5 linked regions of the Canis lupus familiaris genome follow. The protein of the gene in region 4 purifies or fractionates together with the protein of the main gene of each other region. This does not show direct contact. Links are inferred from orthologs where the notes say so. Each region holds a gene or a part of one and is shown on either strand. Other genes may lie near its edges.

What was found. Proteins that work in one complex are often made in the same cells at the same time.
Region 1: the proteins of COPE (region 4) and COPB1 purify together in Homo sapiens (affinity purification with mass spectrometry; 6 studies listed by BioGRID and IntAct, with this or other methods). This does not show direct contact. The link is inferred for Canis lupus familiaris from reciprocal best matches to the Homo sapiens genes COPE and COPB1.
Region 2: the proteins of COPE (region 4) and COPG1 fractionate together in Homo sapiens (co-fractionation; 6 studies listed by BioGRID and IntAct, counting the BioPlex papers as one, with this or other methods). This does not show direct contact. The link is inferred for Canis lupus familiaris from reciprocal best matches to the Homo sapiens genes COPE and COPG1.
Region 3: the proteins of COPE (region 4) and SACM1L purify together in Homo sapiens (affinity purification with mass spectrometry; 4 studies listed by BioGRID and IntAct, with this or other methods). This does not show direct contact. The link is inferred for Canis lupus familiaris from reciprocal best matches to the Homo sapiens genes COPE and SACM1L.
Region 5: the proteins of COPE (region 4) and COPZ1 purify together in Homo sapiens (affinity purification with mass spectrometry; 3 studies listed by BioGRID and IntAct, with this or other methods). This does not show direct contact. The link is inferred for Canis lupus familiaris from reciprocal best matches to the Homo sapiens genes COPE and COPZ1.

What each region holds. Positions count from the first base shown.
Region 1 is NC_049242.1:37,795,720-37,799,219, forward strand, and holds part of COPB1 (coatomer subunit beta), read right to left. Parts: intron 2,926-3,500; coding exon 2,806-2,925; intron 1-2,805. UniProt on the Homo sapiens protein: The coatomer is a cytosolic protein complex that binds to dilysine motifs and reversibly associates with Golgi non-clathrin-coated vesicles, which further mediate biosynthetic protein transport from the ER, via the Golgi up to the trans Golgi network.
Region 2 is NC_049241.1:2,861,924-2,864,263, forward strand, and holds part of COPG1 (coatomer subunit gamma-1), read right to left. Parts: intron 2,014-2,340; coding exon 1,875-2,013; intron 1,551-1,874; coding exon 1,452-1,550; intron 1-1,451. UniProt on the Homo sapiens protein: The coatomer is a cytosolic protein complex that binds to dilysine motifs and reversibly associates with Golgi non-clathrin-coated vesicles, which further mediate biosynthetic protein transport from the ER, via the Golgi up to the trans Golgi network.
Region 3 is NC_049241.1:43,140,144-43,143,643, forward strand, and holds part of SACM1L (phosphatidylinositol-3-phosphatase SAC1), read right to left. Parts: intron 1,251-3,500; coding exon 1,114-1,250; 3' UTR 1-1,113.
Region 4 is NC_049241.1:44,603,919-44,607,876, reverse strand, and holds the start of COPE (coatomer subunit epsilon), read right to left. Parts: upstream 2,801-3,958; 5' UTR 2,749-2,800; coding exon 2,623-2,748; intron 1-2,622. Other genes in the region: probable ATP-dependent RNA helicase DDX49, read left to right, coding at 3,051-3,228. UniProt on the Homo sapiens protein: The coatomer is a cytosolic protein complex that binds to dilysine motifs and reversibly associates with Golgi non-clathrin-coated vesicles, which further mediate biosynthetic protein transport from the ER, via the Golgi up to the trans Golgi network.
Region 5 is NC_049248.1:45,686,211-45,689,710, reverse strand, and holds part of COPZ1 (coatomer subunit zeta-1), read right to left. Parts: intron 2,958-3,500; coding exon 2,889-2,957; intron 1,559-2,888; coding exon 1,477-1,558; intron 855-1,476; coding exon 763-854; intron 1-762. UniProt on the Homo sapiens protein: The coatomer is a cytosolic protein complex that binds to dilysine motifs and reversibly associates with Golgi non-clathrin-coated vesicles, which further mediate biosynthetic protein transport from the ER, via the Golgi up to the trans Golgi network.

The DNA of each region.
Region 1 (3,500 bases), on a different chromosome or scaffold from region 4:
GAATGAATGGATGGATGGATGAATGAATGAACAAACAAATAAATAAAATCTTAAAAAAAAAGTTTTAATATGGGACACCTGGGTGGCTCAGTGGTTGAGCATCTGCCTTTGTCTCAAGGGTGTGATCCTGGGATCCAGGATCGAGTCCCCTATCAGGCTCCTTGAAGGGAGCCTGCTTCTCCCTCTGCCTATATCTATGCATCTCTCACTGTGTCTCTCATGAATAAATAAATACAATCTTAAAAAAAAAGTTTTAATATTTATAGATAATAATTATAAGATTAGCAACTATTTATATAATGCTTATATCCTGGGCTCTTATTTTAAATACTTTAAAAATATTACCTATTTAATACTCCTTCAATCCTATGTTATAGTATTATCATTTTCCATCTTATGGATGAGGAAACAAAACAAAAAGAAGTCAAGTAAGTTGCTTAAGGCCACAGAACTGATTAAGTGGTAGGGGCAGGATTCAAATTCAGTCAGTACATGCATAGCAGTTGCAGTGTGAGGCCCTCCATGGGGATATGTAAGTCATAGTGCTCCCTAGGAGGTACTTAACAAATATGTTTTAATGAATATTGAGGAGCCACAGTACTTAATGATTACAAGATTATTTACTTCTATGACTGCCTCATCCACAGCAGAAAGTTGTCATCTGATTGGAGCCTACCTTTCTTCCTCCTAGCCTCTTCTCTTTACATTCCTCCACTGCATCTACTTTCAGAGAAAACAGAGGTCACCAAGAATAAGTTCCTTTAATTTTTAGTCCCACATCTAAAAACAAATTTCTCTCTCTCTGAATTCACACACCATTTCCTTACCCTGTGTATCAGGGAAGTGCTGTCTCTTCTCTTGCAGATTCCTGCCATCTGTGATTCCTGTTCTGGTTCAGGACATCACTCCACCAATCATTACCTCCCTCACTCTATGTCTTTAGCTTTGTTTTCTCTACTGGCTCTTCCCTTAGTCTATAAACATTCCCTTTTATGACTCTCTCACCTTAAAAAAAAAAAAAAAAAAAACCTCTCCCTCCTCCTCTGACTTCTCTTCATTTATTGCCCTCTCTCATTCTTATCAAAACCAAAATTCTATACTCAGAGCAGTCTACACTGTTTTTATTTCTCTACCTCCAAGTCTTCAACTCACCATCAATGCCCAAGATATACCACAAGCAATATTTAATATCACTGATCACCAAATTCAAAGGACTCTTCCTTTAGACTTCATGTTTCTTGACCTTTCGCAGCTCCAAATTCTTTGGAAGATTTTTCCTTACTTCTTCTCTACCACATTTCAGGTACCTTTATAGGATTCTTCTTGGCCAACCAAGCTTTCAATATTGCTGTTCTCTTAGATTCAGTTTTAAGATCTCCCCTCTTCTCACTCTTTATACCCTGAGTGATTTCTTCCATTTCTATGGCTTTTAAACAAGTATTTATCTCTAGTTTAGACTTTCTGTTCAAGTTCCACACCCACATCAAATTGCCCTTGGACATCTTTCAATACTTTAATACTCGATCTGCTCAAAGATTTACCTTAGTACCTCTCTCAAATTTGTTCTTCTCTCATATATTTCCTTTTTTGGTGATTGCCATAAATATCAATTCAATAAACCCAATAAAAAAATCTGACCATTACTCTAGCCACTTCCTCTTCAGTCCATGTCCTGGGCATCCTATTTCCTTAATATTAATAATATTCAGCCCTTCTCTACAACCCAACCACTACTGCACTGGTTTGAGCTCTATCATCTCTCACCTGTGCTACTACAATAGTCTACTAGTTTACTCTTCCTGCCTCTTCCAATCTGTGCTGTCACAGAAATGCTTAATCATGGGGGTGCCTGAGTGGTTCAGTTGGTTAAGCGTCTGACTCTCGATTTCAGCTCAGGTTATGATCTTAGGGTCTTGAGACTAAGTCCCACATAGGGCTCTGTGCTGAGCATGGAGCCTGCTTAAGATTTTCTCTCTCTCCCTTTGCCTCCCCTCACCCTTACCCGGCTTGCATGTGCTCTCTCTCTCTTAATTTGTTCCAGTGGAATCCTTGCCTATATGTAGAACATTCCTAATTGTTCAAAATGCCCTGTGAGCATTAGTTGCTCCACAAAGCCTTTCCTAACCTTCCCACCTCCCACTCCCCCACCACTTTGAGAAAAATGACCAAATTTCTACACAGACTCCCACTTTACCTAGCACAAGCTTCTTTCCTAGAACTTACCATTATGTGTTATACGTATCTATCCTACTTATCTGTTTTCCCTTACTTGACCACAAATTACCTGAGGGGAGATCTTTTGTTCTCACCATGGCACCCCTAACAGTGCCACAGACCTTGCTTAAAAAAATGCTTACTGTCTGACTGAATGCCCCTGGATACACAGTCCTATGTGCCCTGGCAACCACTGCCTCTGCAATTTTAGACTCAGTTCAAAAGTCATCCTTTGATAACATATCCTACTCCTCTATAAAGCCTTCTGTGGGCTTAGCATTTTTCTTCTATGTTCTCAAAGCACATAACATATAAACTAGCATCTATCACATTGCGTTGTACTTATATATTTACTCTATCTCCTTCTTTTGTTTGGCAGGTTCTTGAGGACAGTCTTTCCATGGTTCATTTCTGTACATCCATGAACAAAGTACAACATGTAGTATAACAGCAGGTGCCCCATAAGGGATGAATGAGTAAATGAATAAATGGATTCAGGTCCTGTCCTCAAGAAATGTCATACAACTACTCATTACAGAAATTCTTTAATAAAAATATTCAAACATCATATGCTATAAAACAATTCCTTACCTATATTACCAAAAATTATTCCATTTTCTGTTGATGCTACTTTAACATTAGCTTTAATATTTGCAAAATCATGAGGAGCAAGAGTCAAAGGAGATGGCTTTTCCACAAGTTTCAGATCCCCTGAAGAAACATTTAGATATGGTTAAATATACATATTAAATCACATATATTCATTTCAAATCATAAATCTTATCTCCCAAAAAATAACTTAAAATGATGCAGTGAAATAAGGAACAAGAAAAGGGTTATGATTCAAATATTTTGAGGACAAAATAAATCATTTAACACTTTATTATTCACATCAATATACATATTTTCTTTGAAAAAGTAATAAGTTCCTCAAAATAATTCTATATTTAATGTGTGCATATACTTTGGGCTTATCATTTTATTTCAATGATTGAGTATAAACTTCTCAAAAATCTTGAGTCAAACTATAGACTCCATTACCAAGAGAGATAAAACAGTCCACACGAAGGCTTATAAATTCTTAGAAACATAGTTCTTTATATAGGCATCATGTTGTGAGGAAGAAAGGGCAGAAGTATCTTTTCCCTTGATATCTTAAAGTGCTTTAACTCTTGCTTAAGCCACACAGAATTTCCAAGAGACCCTGCACTGTTTCTGTATACAATTTATTTTTTCCAACTTCAAAGCCATATGTAGAAGTGGTCAAAGAGAGTATGATTCACGTG
Region 2 (2,340 bases), about 42 Mb from region 4:
AATAAAAACTACAGGGACACCTGGGTGGCTCAGCCATTGAGCATCTGCCTTTGGCTCAGGGTGTGATCCTGGAGACCTGTGATCAAGTCCCACATCGGGCGCCCTGCATGGAGCCTGCTTCTCTCTCGGCCTATATGTCTGCCTTGCTCTGTGTGTCTCTCATGAATAAATAAATAAAATTTAAAAAATAAAATAAAATAAAAACTACACTAAGATACCATTTTCCACCCAGACTGGCAAAGATCATTTGATAATGACCTGATAATATACTCTGTATATTACTGATTACTGTATTATACTGATAACATACTATGTTGTCCACAGTGTGGAAGGAAAGGCATACAGTTCCAATAGAAGGCAACTAGAAAAAAAAAAAAAAGAAGGCAACTAGAAATTTATATCAAAATGAGAAATGCGCTTTGACCTGGTAATGCCTTGGGAAGTTTATCCTATAGATATCCTCAGGGAATACATGCAAAATAAAGTATGTGTGTGTGCATGATTAGTCACTGTAGCATTGTTTGTAATAGCAAAAAGCCTGGAACAATCTATATATTTATCAATACAGGCTGATTCTATAAATTATGGTACACCCATACAATGGAATATAAGGAAGCTACAAAAAAGTATGAAGATTTACTCTGGGATGATAAAAAAGTCTTGGAGAAGAACAGTGCTAATATCTACACAATAATGCAGATATACTTCATGCCACTGGGCTGTATACCTGAGCTTAAAATGGTAAATTTTACATTATGTACATTTTACTACAATTAGAAAAAGAGGAAACTCTATGTATTTTTAAATATATTTTTAATTAGAAAAAGAGGAAACTCTATGTATTTTTAAATATATTTTTAATGTAATCTCCACCCCCAACGTGAGGCACAAACTTAGGACCCTGAGATCAAGAATCACATGCTCTACCGACTGAGCCAGCCAAGCATAGGAAAGACAATATATATACTATTTACACGTAAACATCTGAGTTAAAATAGGAAATTGTGCATGTCAGTGTTCGTATCCATAAAATCACTGTTTATAATAACAATGCTGATCAGTCACCTGTCGGAAAGGAACTAGATAGATGACAGGCAGCAAGGGTCGGATATTTCACTGCTGGGCTTTTTTTACTCTATGAATTTTCTTTTTTGTGTTTTTAAAGATTTTATTTATTCTACAGAGTGAGAGAGAGCACAAGCAGGGGGAGTGTCAGGCTCCCCACTGAGCAGAGAGACGGACACAGGGCTCCATTCCAGGACCTTAAGATCATGACCTAAGTTGAACGCAGACGCTTAACCGACTGAGCCACCCAGGTGCCCCTTACTTTGTGAATCTTCAATGCTATAAATTTGAATCCCCATGTTCCCAGTGGGAGCCCTCAACCCAGGGCACAGTAGCATGCAGACTGTAAACTACGTAGGCCCTTCCCACCTAGAAGTGTTGCTTACCAGCCAGAAGCAATGTGTGGGTGTTCTTGTTATCTGGCACTTTGTCTGACCTCTCACAAGGATGCATTCCCAGGAATTTCACGATATTGCCCACAGCCTCTATAGGGAGAAATCCCAGCATCATTAAGCCACATCTCATTTCTACCTTTGTGTCACCACCACTCCCCCATCCTCTAAGCCTGCTCTAAGTTGCGCTTTTAAAAATTTTATTTAGTAATCTCTACACTCAATGTGGGGCTCAAACTCATGACCCTGTGATCAAGAGTCACATGCTGTTCTATTGAGCCAGCCAGGCCCTCTCTAAGGGCCTTTTCATGAAGTGCCATCTGAAGTATATACTCTCAACATGGCCCTGGGTTCCTGGGGGGCCAAGGCCAGGAGGAGTGAAAGGGGAGGACACATTTCAATAGCCAAGGATTTTACCTTCAAGTGTCTTGATAGTAGACAAGGTGAATGTTTCCTCTTTCTCAAACTCATCCCCTACCTCATCCCAGGCTGCTTCAAAGTTCAGTTTCATGACCTTTTGGATATGATCAGCAACAGTGATTTCCAGATCTTCCAGCTGTGGAGATGGAGGTGGAAGTTAGGCATACACCTCCAGGGGAATGGGTTCCTGTTCTGCACACCTGTGGGGCCTCTGCTCTGCACTCACTGCTTATCCCTTTCTTCAACGCATTGGGCAAGTGCTCACTAGACACAGAGCACTGTGCTTGGCTCTGGGGACATACAGTAACTGGACTTTCCTTCAGGTGCTCACAGCCAAGTGGTGTCCTTTCAATAGAAATGCCCTGACCCAAGTGCTCACCTTAGGATGTCAGCTGCAAGGTCACGTCCCTTTGGAAGCCTGCCTAGAGTCAGTGCCTTAAGGATCCAAAGGTCTGCCTTCTAC
Region 3 (3,500 bases), about 1.5 Mb from region 4:
TACACACTTTCCTAATATTTAAACCTCATAATTACAGTTTGAATATACAGTCCAACTTATAGTTAGAAACTATGCACAGCTTCTAAAGCATATTTTTCAGGCTTGTTTTTGCACATAAATTAACATTTAAGTTGGTCCTTGATTTGGAGAACTCTAACTACCTGGAAGCACGAAATTTCAGACACATTTATTGATCGTTAACAGAAACCTTTACAGAGTGAAAAGCATTGATAGTACCATGCGTGGAAAGCAGCTGCTGCCTCCAAGTGCAACACCAAGTCCAGCACCAGAGCCTCCCAGAGGCTCACGAGTCTCAATGAACGAACCCCAAAGAAACCAACACATCCAGGAGGGAGGAACCGACCAACGGAGGGTATCTTCCACACTGGGGCAAATCCTTAAAACAGAGGCGGCTTTGGACCTTTAGCATAAGACACAGACTTTACATTCTTTGATTTCATTTACACCTTTTAAAAAAGATAAAGTAAATCTGAACTTCTTCTTCACACCCAAGTTCAAGCTGAACTCAGAAGGCAGCTCAACCGAAACGCCAGCCCCGGTCCCCGCCAGCCCTGCCAGGAGGTCACAATCTGCTTTGTCAAACTACCTGATGTCTGTGACACACTCACACTGCATACACACAGGCAAATTAGCTTATTATTCAACTTTTAAGAAAAATTCAAAGATGTGTGGGGAAGTTCGCTTGCTAACAGCAACTGCCTCTACAGTGACAATAAGGAAACTGAGCTAGAAAAATAATTTTACCATTTTAAATAAGGAAAGAAGCTAGATTTCTTAAATATATTACTTATTCTGCAAGAGTTGATTAAATTGACAAGGAATAGATTCCTTCCATTCCAGGAGCTGGATTCAGGTTACCTTTTAATTACAGAAGAGCTTCAAATTATAACTAGAGCTGTCCAAGTAATGAAGAGATGGTCAAGGCAGGAACATCAGGCTGACCAGAGGTCATCCCCCCACACGGCGCACAGAGTGGGCTTTTGGAGAAAGGCTTTCGAAAGACCTCGGGGTGACGTGGAAAGCGGGTCAGTAAAGACTCCAGTTCTGCATAATGGAATCTTCTAAGCCAAGCCGCTTTCCACAGACACAAATTCAGTCCATCTTTTCTTTCTGGACCAATCTGGGAGCATCGACAAAATCTTTGCCGTTATAAAGAATAATGAAAAATGTTCCGATGCTTGCAACTCCCCAGAAAAGCACATAGGCCAGTGTTTCTGTCCAAGTGTCACCTATTGATATATAAAAAAAGAGTTGATAAATAAAAATCATTTTATTGATCCCAGAGGCAGTTTTCAGCTGCTTAGCAAAATTAAAGTCCAGTGTTTAAATATTAAAGTTTCATCTTCACAATATCAAAGTTTATTACCACATCTGCAGGAAAAATATAAGAACCTCTCAATTAAGGTTTAAACAAGTGGCTCTTGAACTCTGACTGGCATCAGAACTCTCCAGAGCTTGACAAGGTGTGGGCTGCTGGGGCCAACCCCAGAGATTCTGACTTGGCAAGTGGGGGTGGGGCTCAAGAATCTGCATTTCTAACAAGTTTCCAGGTATGTCGAAGCCACTGATTTAGAGGCCACAGCTTAAAAACCACCTGACCAAACTATTTGCATTCCAATCATGCAAATAATTACTTACTTTTAGACTCAGCACTTTTATATTACAAGAAACTATTAATACATTTACCACAATCAAGATGCCTACACAAAAAATAACTGTACAAAACATACATACATGCTTCAGAAAAGCTATGTATAAAAGTGTGTAAGACAAAGCTCAGTAACATATCTTAATGACCAATTTCACACAACTCTCCCGATAAGCATTTTTTGCAATGTCTAGAGTTCACGAGGGTTAGTAGCAGTGGGAAAAGATCTACTTTGTTCTACTACTTGAGCAGCTGAACCTAGCACAGCTTCCCTCCTGTGACAGGACTGACTGCACCTGCAGACCTGGGAGATGTGTGCAGAGGCCAGGAGACGGTGAGAAAGCATGCCAGGCAGGCTCTTTCCTAGCAAGCTGTCGGAGATCATGCTGCGCTTATTCCCCATTCTCTAAAAACCCAAAGAACAGGCTAGAAATCAGATGCTATCACATCTAAACATCACAATGCTCATCATTTTATAGCACTAACATGAAACATTGCTATCCTCAGCATCCATCTCTTTTTATAAAAATTTACATAATCGCTCATTTTCACACCTCTGAGTTTTAAAATTCTTCTTGGACAAAGAAGAAAGGCAGTTCCTCACAAGCCCAACCCAGGACATTCCCCAAAGGAATCATCACTTGTTCAGGCTGAGCTGTCAACTTTCCTCCCTCCCCAGACGTTCTACAGGGATGTCAAGAAAACACAGAAGAGATCAAAGTAACAAAACTAATTCGACAGGCTCCCAGAAAATGGCATCCACTAGGCAGTGTTTTAAAGAAGTCAGAGAGTCTAGGGATTGAAGAGCATGATCCCCTAGGAATCACGAGAGGCACGTGCTCGCTGGCCCTGTCCACCTTCCTTCCTGTCCCCAGACTGGACACAGGGCCCAAATTATGCCACAAAGCACTGCCCGTGCTCTAGAGCCCTCAGCCTGTTTTCGTACTGTGAGCTAAGAAGAGTTTTTACATTTCCAAAAGTTGTCAAAACAAATAATGTGCAAATGGAGATGGTATGTAGTTTGGAAGTCAAAACTATTTATTATCTTGCTCTTTAGAGAAAATGTTTGCTAACTCCTGCCCTAGAGTACAACAGGATGGCTCCCTGCCTATGTCATGACTGCCTATGGCGCTGAACACGGAGGGGATTACAGGGATTTCAGACATGAACAGGTACCTATTGACCCTCTGCTCCAGAATGCGCGTAGGGGTGGTGTTAAGGGTCCTTAGCTCAGCAAATTTTTGCTGAGGGCTTACTATATCCCAGACACAGGAGATAAAACATTGAGAAAGGCACAGTGTCTGCCCTCAAAGTGTTGCTTATCCAGTGAGAAAGATAAACGAATATGCAAATCATGACCCACAAAGAGAGATGTTCACTAGGGATGCTGGATACACCACAGAGATACGCCACCTCAGAAAAAGAGATCCCCAGATGCTTATGAGGCCAAAGGACACAGTGCTGTAAGAAAGGGACATGATGCTGTGGAGATGAGAAGGGGGTAAGGTCTGTGTGGGAGAACAAAGGGCCACTGTGAGAGGGGAGAGTGAGAATGGGACCCTGACAATGGGCGGAGCTCAGACAAGACAGCCCAACCTGCCTAAAGCTGCATCTCAAAGCGTAATACAGCCAACTCATAGACTCAGATCCCATAGCACTGAAGAGTACCTAACGGAAACACTTTAATCCTACGTGCTTATTAGCTTAGTAACACAGGAAAACAGTGAGAGAAAAAGAGAAAACCAGTAAAGACCTCGTTAGCACAAGTTCTTAGGCTAAAAAAAATTTTTTTTTTCTTTAGAGAAAGAATGAGAATCTTAAGCAGGCTCCA
Region 4 (3,958 bases):
TCTAGGAGGCAAGGCTGGCCCCTGGCTCAGAGCTATCAACCATTTGAGTCTGGAAGCATATTTTTCCTTAGAATTTCCAGAAGAGATACAGCCTTCCCAACACCTTGATTTTAGCCTGGTGCAAGCCATGTAGGACTTCTGACCTACAGAAACTGAGAGAAAATAAATTTGTGTGGCTGCAAGTTGTCATTTGTGGTTGTTTGTCATAAGAGAATCAGAAAACGAATACAATTGCACAAGTACTATTCCAAGTGTGACAGTCTCCTGAAGTCCATTTTAGGCTTTATACCCATGATGCTCAGGGAAACCAGGTACAGTGTCAAAGGCCAGAAGCATGAACAAGTAAGCCTTCTCTACTTCAGAGTACAAAGTCCTCCCAAGCCTCTGGCTGCCCGGGTGAAATAGTTAGCTCTTCCTTTGCTTGGTGCTCCAGTGGCCCCCTACATCTTAGGAATAAAATCCAAACTCTTACTGTGGCTCCTGTGAGGCCCTGCCTGTGGCCCTGCCCACTTCATTCTCCATCCTACACACATACACACACACACACACACACACACACACCCGGCCACTCACCCCACTTCTGCTACACTGGTCTTTTATGCTCTGACTCCCTGGAGCTCATCTCTGCCTTAGGACCTTTGCAGCAATTTATGGGGTTTGATGCTTCTTAAGATTCAGCCTTGGGTTCAAGTGATAGAGCGGCTGGGGCTTACCTGACCATTCCCAGAGGAAGCACCCTCCTCCCTGCCCCCTGCCTATTCTCCAACTCAGCATCTTTTCTTTTTTATTAATAGTGATAAAAAAAAAAAAGAGAGAGAGTGGGAAATATCAGAGAGGGTGACAGAACATGAGAGACTCCTAACTCTGGGAAACGAACAAGGGGTAGTGGAAGGGGAGGTGGGTGGGGGGATGGGGTCACTGGGTGACTAGTACTGATGGGGGTGCTTGACGGGATGAGCACTGGCTGTTAGACTATATGTTGGCAAATCGAACTCCAATAAAAAATATATACAAGATAAAATAAGAGTGGTATGTGTGTTGTCTTTTTTTTTTAAGTTGATATATTTATTTTTACTCATCTCTACACCCAACGTGGGACTCGAACTCACACCACCATGATCAAGAGTCCTATGCTCTTCTGACTGACCATCCAGGTGCCCCTCCAACTCAGCACTTTTTATCTCACCTTGTCCCCTTAAGCAGTCAAGTTATGATATATTCACACATTTCTCTACTTGTCTAATCTCTTTAGGACACCAGCCTGTTGAAAAGAGAGTCAGGGGCAGCCTGGGTGGCTCAGCGGTTTAGCGCCACCTTCATCCCAGGGCGTGATCCTGGAGATCCTGGATCGAGTCCCGTGTTGGGCTCCTTGCATGGCGCCTACTTCTCCCTCTGCCTGTGTCTCTGCCTCTTTCTCTCTCTCTATCATAAATAAATAAATAAAATCTCTTAAAAAAAAAAGAAAAAGAAAAAGAAAAGAGAGTCAGGAGACCAGAAGGGGGAGCTTTCAAGCCCTGACACTCCAGGTTAGTGGCAGACCCCAACAAAAGAGAGGTACCACGCATTCCCCAGAGGAAGAAGCCTATACTTTACCACCCCCACAGGAAGATGAGAGATGTTCTCCTTGTCTGGCAATTGCGGAGCCAAGGAGACACTGTCACAGCTCAGGTAATGAGAAGCCGCAACACTCGGAGCTCAGTTTACTTCAATGGATTTTTTTGTTCATAACGAGCCCTCTCAACTCCCCCTTTCACCTGTGAAAGACAGCAGTCCTCTCCTCTGCTCTCTGGACTTGCCTACAGTTTTGCCATAGGTTACATGTCTCAGATTGCAATTATCCGTTAATCCCCAGCAAACCCATTTTGCTGGTAAAATAACTGACAGGTTTTTTTTTTTGAAGGTTAACAACCAGGGCAGGCAAGACCCTGTCAGGTTCACTGCTCTTAACGATTCTCTCACTCCCAAATTGTCTATAATGTACGTCCACGTCCCTCCCTAAAAGTTTCTGCTAAAGGACCTGCCACCCTCTCTCGTCATCCACTGGCTGGGCCCTGCCTAGCAGGGTTATTTCTAACTCTCAGATGGCCAAACTCATTCCCACCACTATCCATCACACCACCCCCGACTTCTTATTAACCGCTTGACTGTCTCCCTTGGGAGCTTGAAGTTTCTAAAAGAGTTCGGAGTTTTGTCTGTTTTATCACTGCTTTGAGCCCAGCACGAATACACTGCCTGGCCCAAAGAGAAACTCAACGAGGAGTGAATGAAATGAAATGAAATCCCTACTTCAGGGGTATTGTGGGTATGTATGGTGGCACACGTGGGCCCTCCACAAGTGAAAATCACTATTATTATCACTATAGTGGCGTAAAACGCATCCGTTACTCAAATGCCTTCCACGGCGCAGAACGAGCTCTTAGAGTGAGAAATAACAAAAACTGTCACGGCTCTGAGTTTGGTCATAAGACAAGGGTAACTCCTTACAACGCTCTGAAGAGATACGTTGGGGAAAAAACACCTCGAGGAGAAGGAAGATTTTAAAAATCAAAGCACGACCAGTGGCCACCAGGAAGAAACGCCTTTCGGAACCACCACTGTCCCCTCGCCCCCGAGCGGCCGCACCTTCACTCGCTGCGCCTCGTTAATGCACTGCTGATAGCTGCCAATGTAGAAGGCGTTCTTCACGTCGAACAGCTCGTCCACTTCCCCGGAGCCGCCGGAGGCCGGCCCGGGAGCCGGAGGCGCCATATCACTACGGTCCCAGTCGCTCCTCTTCCGGAGGGACACGTCGGCCGGAAGTTGGGAGTCCGTCGCCGCAAGGCACGCTGGGAATTGTAGTTTACTCGTTCCTGCCTAAAGATGAGCCAAATTGGACGGGAGTCGCAAGTGCGACTCGCTGGGCATCTCGGGAATTGTAGTTTAATTTGATCGCGCGAGCCAATGGAAATCGGGGAAACATGGTCAGCATACGGTGGAACCCGGGAATGGCAGTGTGAGCTAGACCGGGGTGGGACCGCGCAGCAGGCGATCCAGTAACCGAGGTTTCCGTGATGTCATCGGCGTGCGCCGGAAAGCAGGGCTCACACGGTGCACGCCCGGAGCTGGCGGGGAGGATGGCCGGCTTCGCGGAGCTTGGGCTGTCATCGTGGCTTGTGGAACAATGTCGGCAGCTGGGTTTGAAGCAGCCCACGCCTGTACAGCTCGGCTGCATCCCCGCCATCCTGGAGGGTAAGTGTGGCCCGGCCTCTTCCCCAGGAAGCCTCCCCACTCTGTCGGCTCCCTTGCCTTCGCGCCTTAGCCTTTGCCTAACCCACTTCTGCGAGGCGAGGGGTACGCTTGGGCGTTATGGACGAGCCTGGGTCCCAAAGGTAGACTGGGCAGTGTTGGCGTTTGGGATTCACAGCTGACTCCCTGTGTGTCCGCACATAAGTGATGTAATCCGAGAAACTCGTGGTCTCAGAGCACAGCACTACTATCTGAATTTTACAAATGGAAACTGAAGTTGTCAGGATTACTGGTAAATGCAGGACTCTGGTCCCGAGAGTAGAGGACTCTACTCTCTACTCTAATGGCCCAACCCGGTTTGCCATTAAAAAGATGCTCTTGGGATCCCTGGGTGGCTCAGCGGTTTAGCGCCTGCCTTTGGCCCAGGGCGCGGTCCTGGAGTCCCGGGATCGAGTTCCACGTCGGGCTCCCGGTGCATGGGGCCTGCTTCTCCCACCTCCTATGTCTCTGCCTCTCTCTCTCCCTCTCTCTGTCTATCATAAATAAATAAATAAATAAATCTTAAAAAAAAAAAAAAGATGCTCTTGGGGGCGCCTGGGTGGCTTAGTCCGCAGAGCTTGTGACTCTTGATTTCCGCTCAGATCATGATCTCAGGGTTGAGCTCAAGCCCCGCATTGGGCTGCGCGCTGGGTGTAGAGCCTGTTTGGAATTCTCTCTCTCCCTCTCTCTTTGC
Region 5 (3,500 bases), on a different chromosome or scaffold from region 4:
CTGTACCCACAGTCTTCTCAATTTGATCCATTCAGGATGTATGGCTTCATTCAACATGACCCCAAATATTGTCTAACTCATCCAAACTCAGTTAGGTGTGCACCCTACGTAGCAGGAAGAAGCATCCTTCCAACCTTGACCACACCTCAGAAATCCATCTTTTATGGATGCCTGGATGGTTCAGTCAGTTAAGTGTCCAATTCTCAATTTTGGCTCAGGTCATGATCTCAGGGTCATGAGATCAAGCCCGGTATTAGGCTCAGTGCTCAGCACAGAGTCTACTGGAGATTCTTTCTCCCTCTCTTTCTGCCTCTGCCCCCCACACCCCTACCATTTGCACTTGCTTTCTCTCTCTCTCAATAAATAAAATCTTTTTAAAAACCTCATATTAGCCCCCCACTGGGTGTAGACATTACTTAAATAACAAAACTTGAAAGAAAGAAAAAGAAAGAACGAAAAAGAGAAAAAGAAAGAGAAAAAGAAAAAAAAGAAAAAAAAGAGAAAAGAAAGAAACGAAAGAGAAACGAAAGAGAAAGGAAAGAGAAAGGAAAGGAAAGGAAAGGAAAGGAAGAGCGAGCAATTGGGGGAAACGACCACTCTAGGCTGATTTGCTAGGCCACATTTGTGAGGTCAACAGTGATCTCTGACAACTTTTTTAGCCCAGAGGGACGTGGCACTCCTGGGGTCCAGACCCAATGACTATGTCCTGCCTTTGGTTTAGGAAGTGGGATCAGAGCGAGCGAAGAGGAGTGGGATTCTCACCTCATTTTCATAGGAGCTGCCAATCACATAGAAATAGAGATCGATACTGCTCTTGTATACCACCGTCAGGCCTTCCAAGAGGGCGATTTCACCTGGGGAGGGGGAGAAAGGGAAGGCGCAAATAGTGGGTGGCCTGAGATAAGGAAGTAAGATAGAAGGAGTTGCCGCGAACTCCTGGTACCCAGCTCCTTGGGCTTAAGTAAGGTAAGTCATAATAACCCCCAAAGACCAAAGTTCGCCTGCTTTTTCCTTCTGAGTGGTAGCACAAGAAGGGAAGTACTAACTTGGGGGAATCAAAATGTATCTTCTCCTAACCACCTCCCCAACAACTACCCTTATTTCCCTCCTTGTATAGGAGACAGGATACTAGTCGATCCTTCGGAGGTGAAAATGCAGAGCGGTCACCTTTACAGACTTCCATTTACCTGCCCTAATGGATGCGGTACAATAAGCAGAGCTGCAGTTAAATTTGTCAAGTGAGGCTCATAAATCCAGGGACTAGACAGGTAGCTAACAGCCAACCTTCCAGCACGGTATTCCCACGTGAGGTACACTCACCTCCCCATTACATTCTGAAGAGTTTATTATATGAGGGGAGGAGGAAAAAAGAGAAAAAGGAGGCAGTCATTTTATCCTTTCTCTGCAGTCCTGCTGCCACCCCCTGCCCACTATGGTTCCCCCAGCACAGGGAGCAGCGAAAGGAAAATGACCTACTGTCAGTCCGATGGGTCTTGTTGAAAATGTTCTTCTCAAAGGCCTTTTGCTCCTTGACACTGGGGTAGGTGTCGTCATAGTACTGGTCGAGGGAAAGGAGATGGGTTGGGTCATTAGAGCTGGGAGCCCAGAATGATTAGTGACTGTGTTTTGCCCTGGATCTTGGATTTCTCGCCTTTAAGGCATGGGGTGAGGGAAAAATACTGGCACGAAGGAAGAACTACGGAGGTAGGGAATGGTCAGTGAGTAACTGAATATAAAAAAAAGAAAAAAAAAAAAAAAAAGCTCTTGTAAAGACCCTGCCATAAGCACGCCCACCTCACATCCCTAAGACCCTAAGGACGGAGGCCTGTGATGAAGCTCTACCCCTGTCTGCATTCTCGGAAAGCAACCCTGAGGCCACTCTCATCCAGTGCTTCCTAGGAGCTATCCCATGGCAGGGAGTAGGGAACACAAAAGGCACTAGGGCACAGAACACGCCTTTTAGACCCTCACTCACACTATGAAGCTGAGGAATGGGAATGGGGAAAGGCTGCAAGAACCTCCTCTAAAGAAAGGCAAACCCGACTCCATCTCTTGCAGATCTCAGCTCTCTTTTCTGCAAACTGAAAGAAGCAGGAGACAGCCGAGCACATTGTTGAGCCCACTCCCAAGCTCTCCCTGGCTGGCAAGGGGTAGAGATACAGGCTGCTAAATCGCTCTGCTCTTTAGGGGCTAATCCGTCGCAGTCAGCTGAAGACCTATGACAGGTCTGGCATTTAGTAACTGGATAACTGTTTCAAAAGGTGTCCTGCATAGTTACATCCAATTACAGGGAGGAACAGCTGGTGAATTCTAAACTAATCTCTACCTGCTGATTGATTTATGCTGTGCTCGCCCGGAGTGAATACACCAGGGACAGAAAAAATTTCCACAGGAGGGGGAGAATATGGAGGGAGAGGAGAGGGGTGTCCTTTCTCCTCTCTTTCAATAGATCCAAAGTTAGAAACATCACACTGGGGACGTCAGGAGGTAACAAGCCTGGTGGTGACTGCAGACCTAGGGCTGGAACCCTGGAACTGCCAGGAGAATTCCTGGAAAAACCCAGGCAGGGTGACAAGGCAGAAGGAAAGGGGACAGGAATAATGGGCCTGGGCAACCTGCTTCTCACATCCAAACACTGTATTGTTCAGAAACCAAGGTTCCCAAGCTTTTCCCTGCTCTGGTACAACAAAGGAGGTCAGAATCTGTGGGAGGCAAGTATGGAAGCAGGGCAACCAAGATACAGAAATGGTTTTATCTGGAGTAGGCACAAGAAAGAATTCTCAAAATTATAGTATCAAGGACTATGAAACAGGGGCAGTCCCAAATCCATCCAAATTTCAAAATAAGTCTTTGTCTTGCTCCTAAATGAATTTCAAAGGGAATCTCACCTTGGCAAAAAGTCGATCTCCATCATTGTCCAGAATCAGGATGGCTTTGACAGTATACAGGGAGGGTTCCTGAAGAGATATGAACATACCTTCAGTCCTGAAGGCTCCTGCCACCCCTGGCAAACCAGATATCTTCCCCTAGTCCCAGTGGGGCTGCAAGGGGATACAGAGGTGCCTCCGTATGTCCCCTATCCCGAATGGTTACATTTAGACAATCCCCACCGAGAACGATCAAGTGGTGAATGAACTGAATTGGGGGGGGGGGGGGGGGCTTTCAACAAAGGACTCTAAAGCAGCATCAGAGAAACAGTTTCTCTGAGCCAGACTCACAGAGGGTTTAATAAAGGTAGGTCATGCTCTTATTTTCAAATATTATGCTACAGTTATTTTCCAAATTACCCTCTCTCCCTGGTCTCCCATGTGCAGGTAGGTATGGAATGCGACCAGATTAATTAGTAGGCACCGCACGAGGCTATCTGAAAATAGGGCTGAATGCCCTAGTGTACTTGAAGTTTCTGCAGTCCCAATGCAGTAGCAATGCAGAGGCATAAAGCAAGCCTTCCCTAAACCACCCACACACCGAGCAGAGGGAAACGAGCACGCATGCGTGCA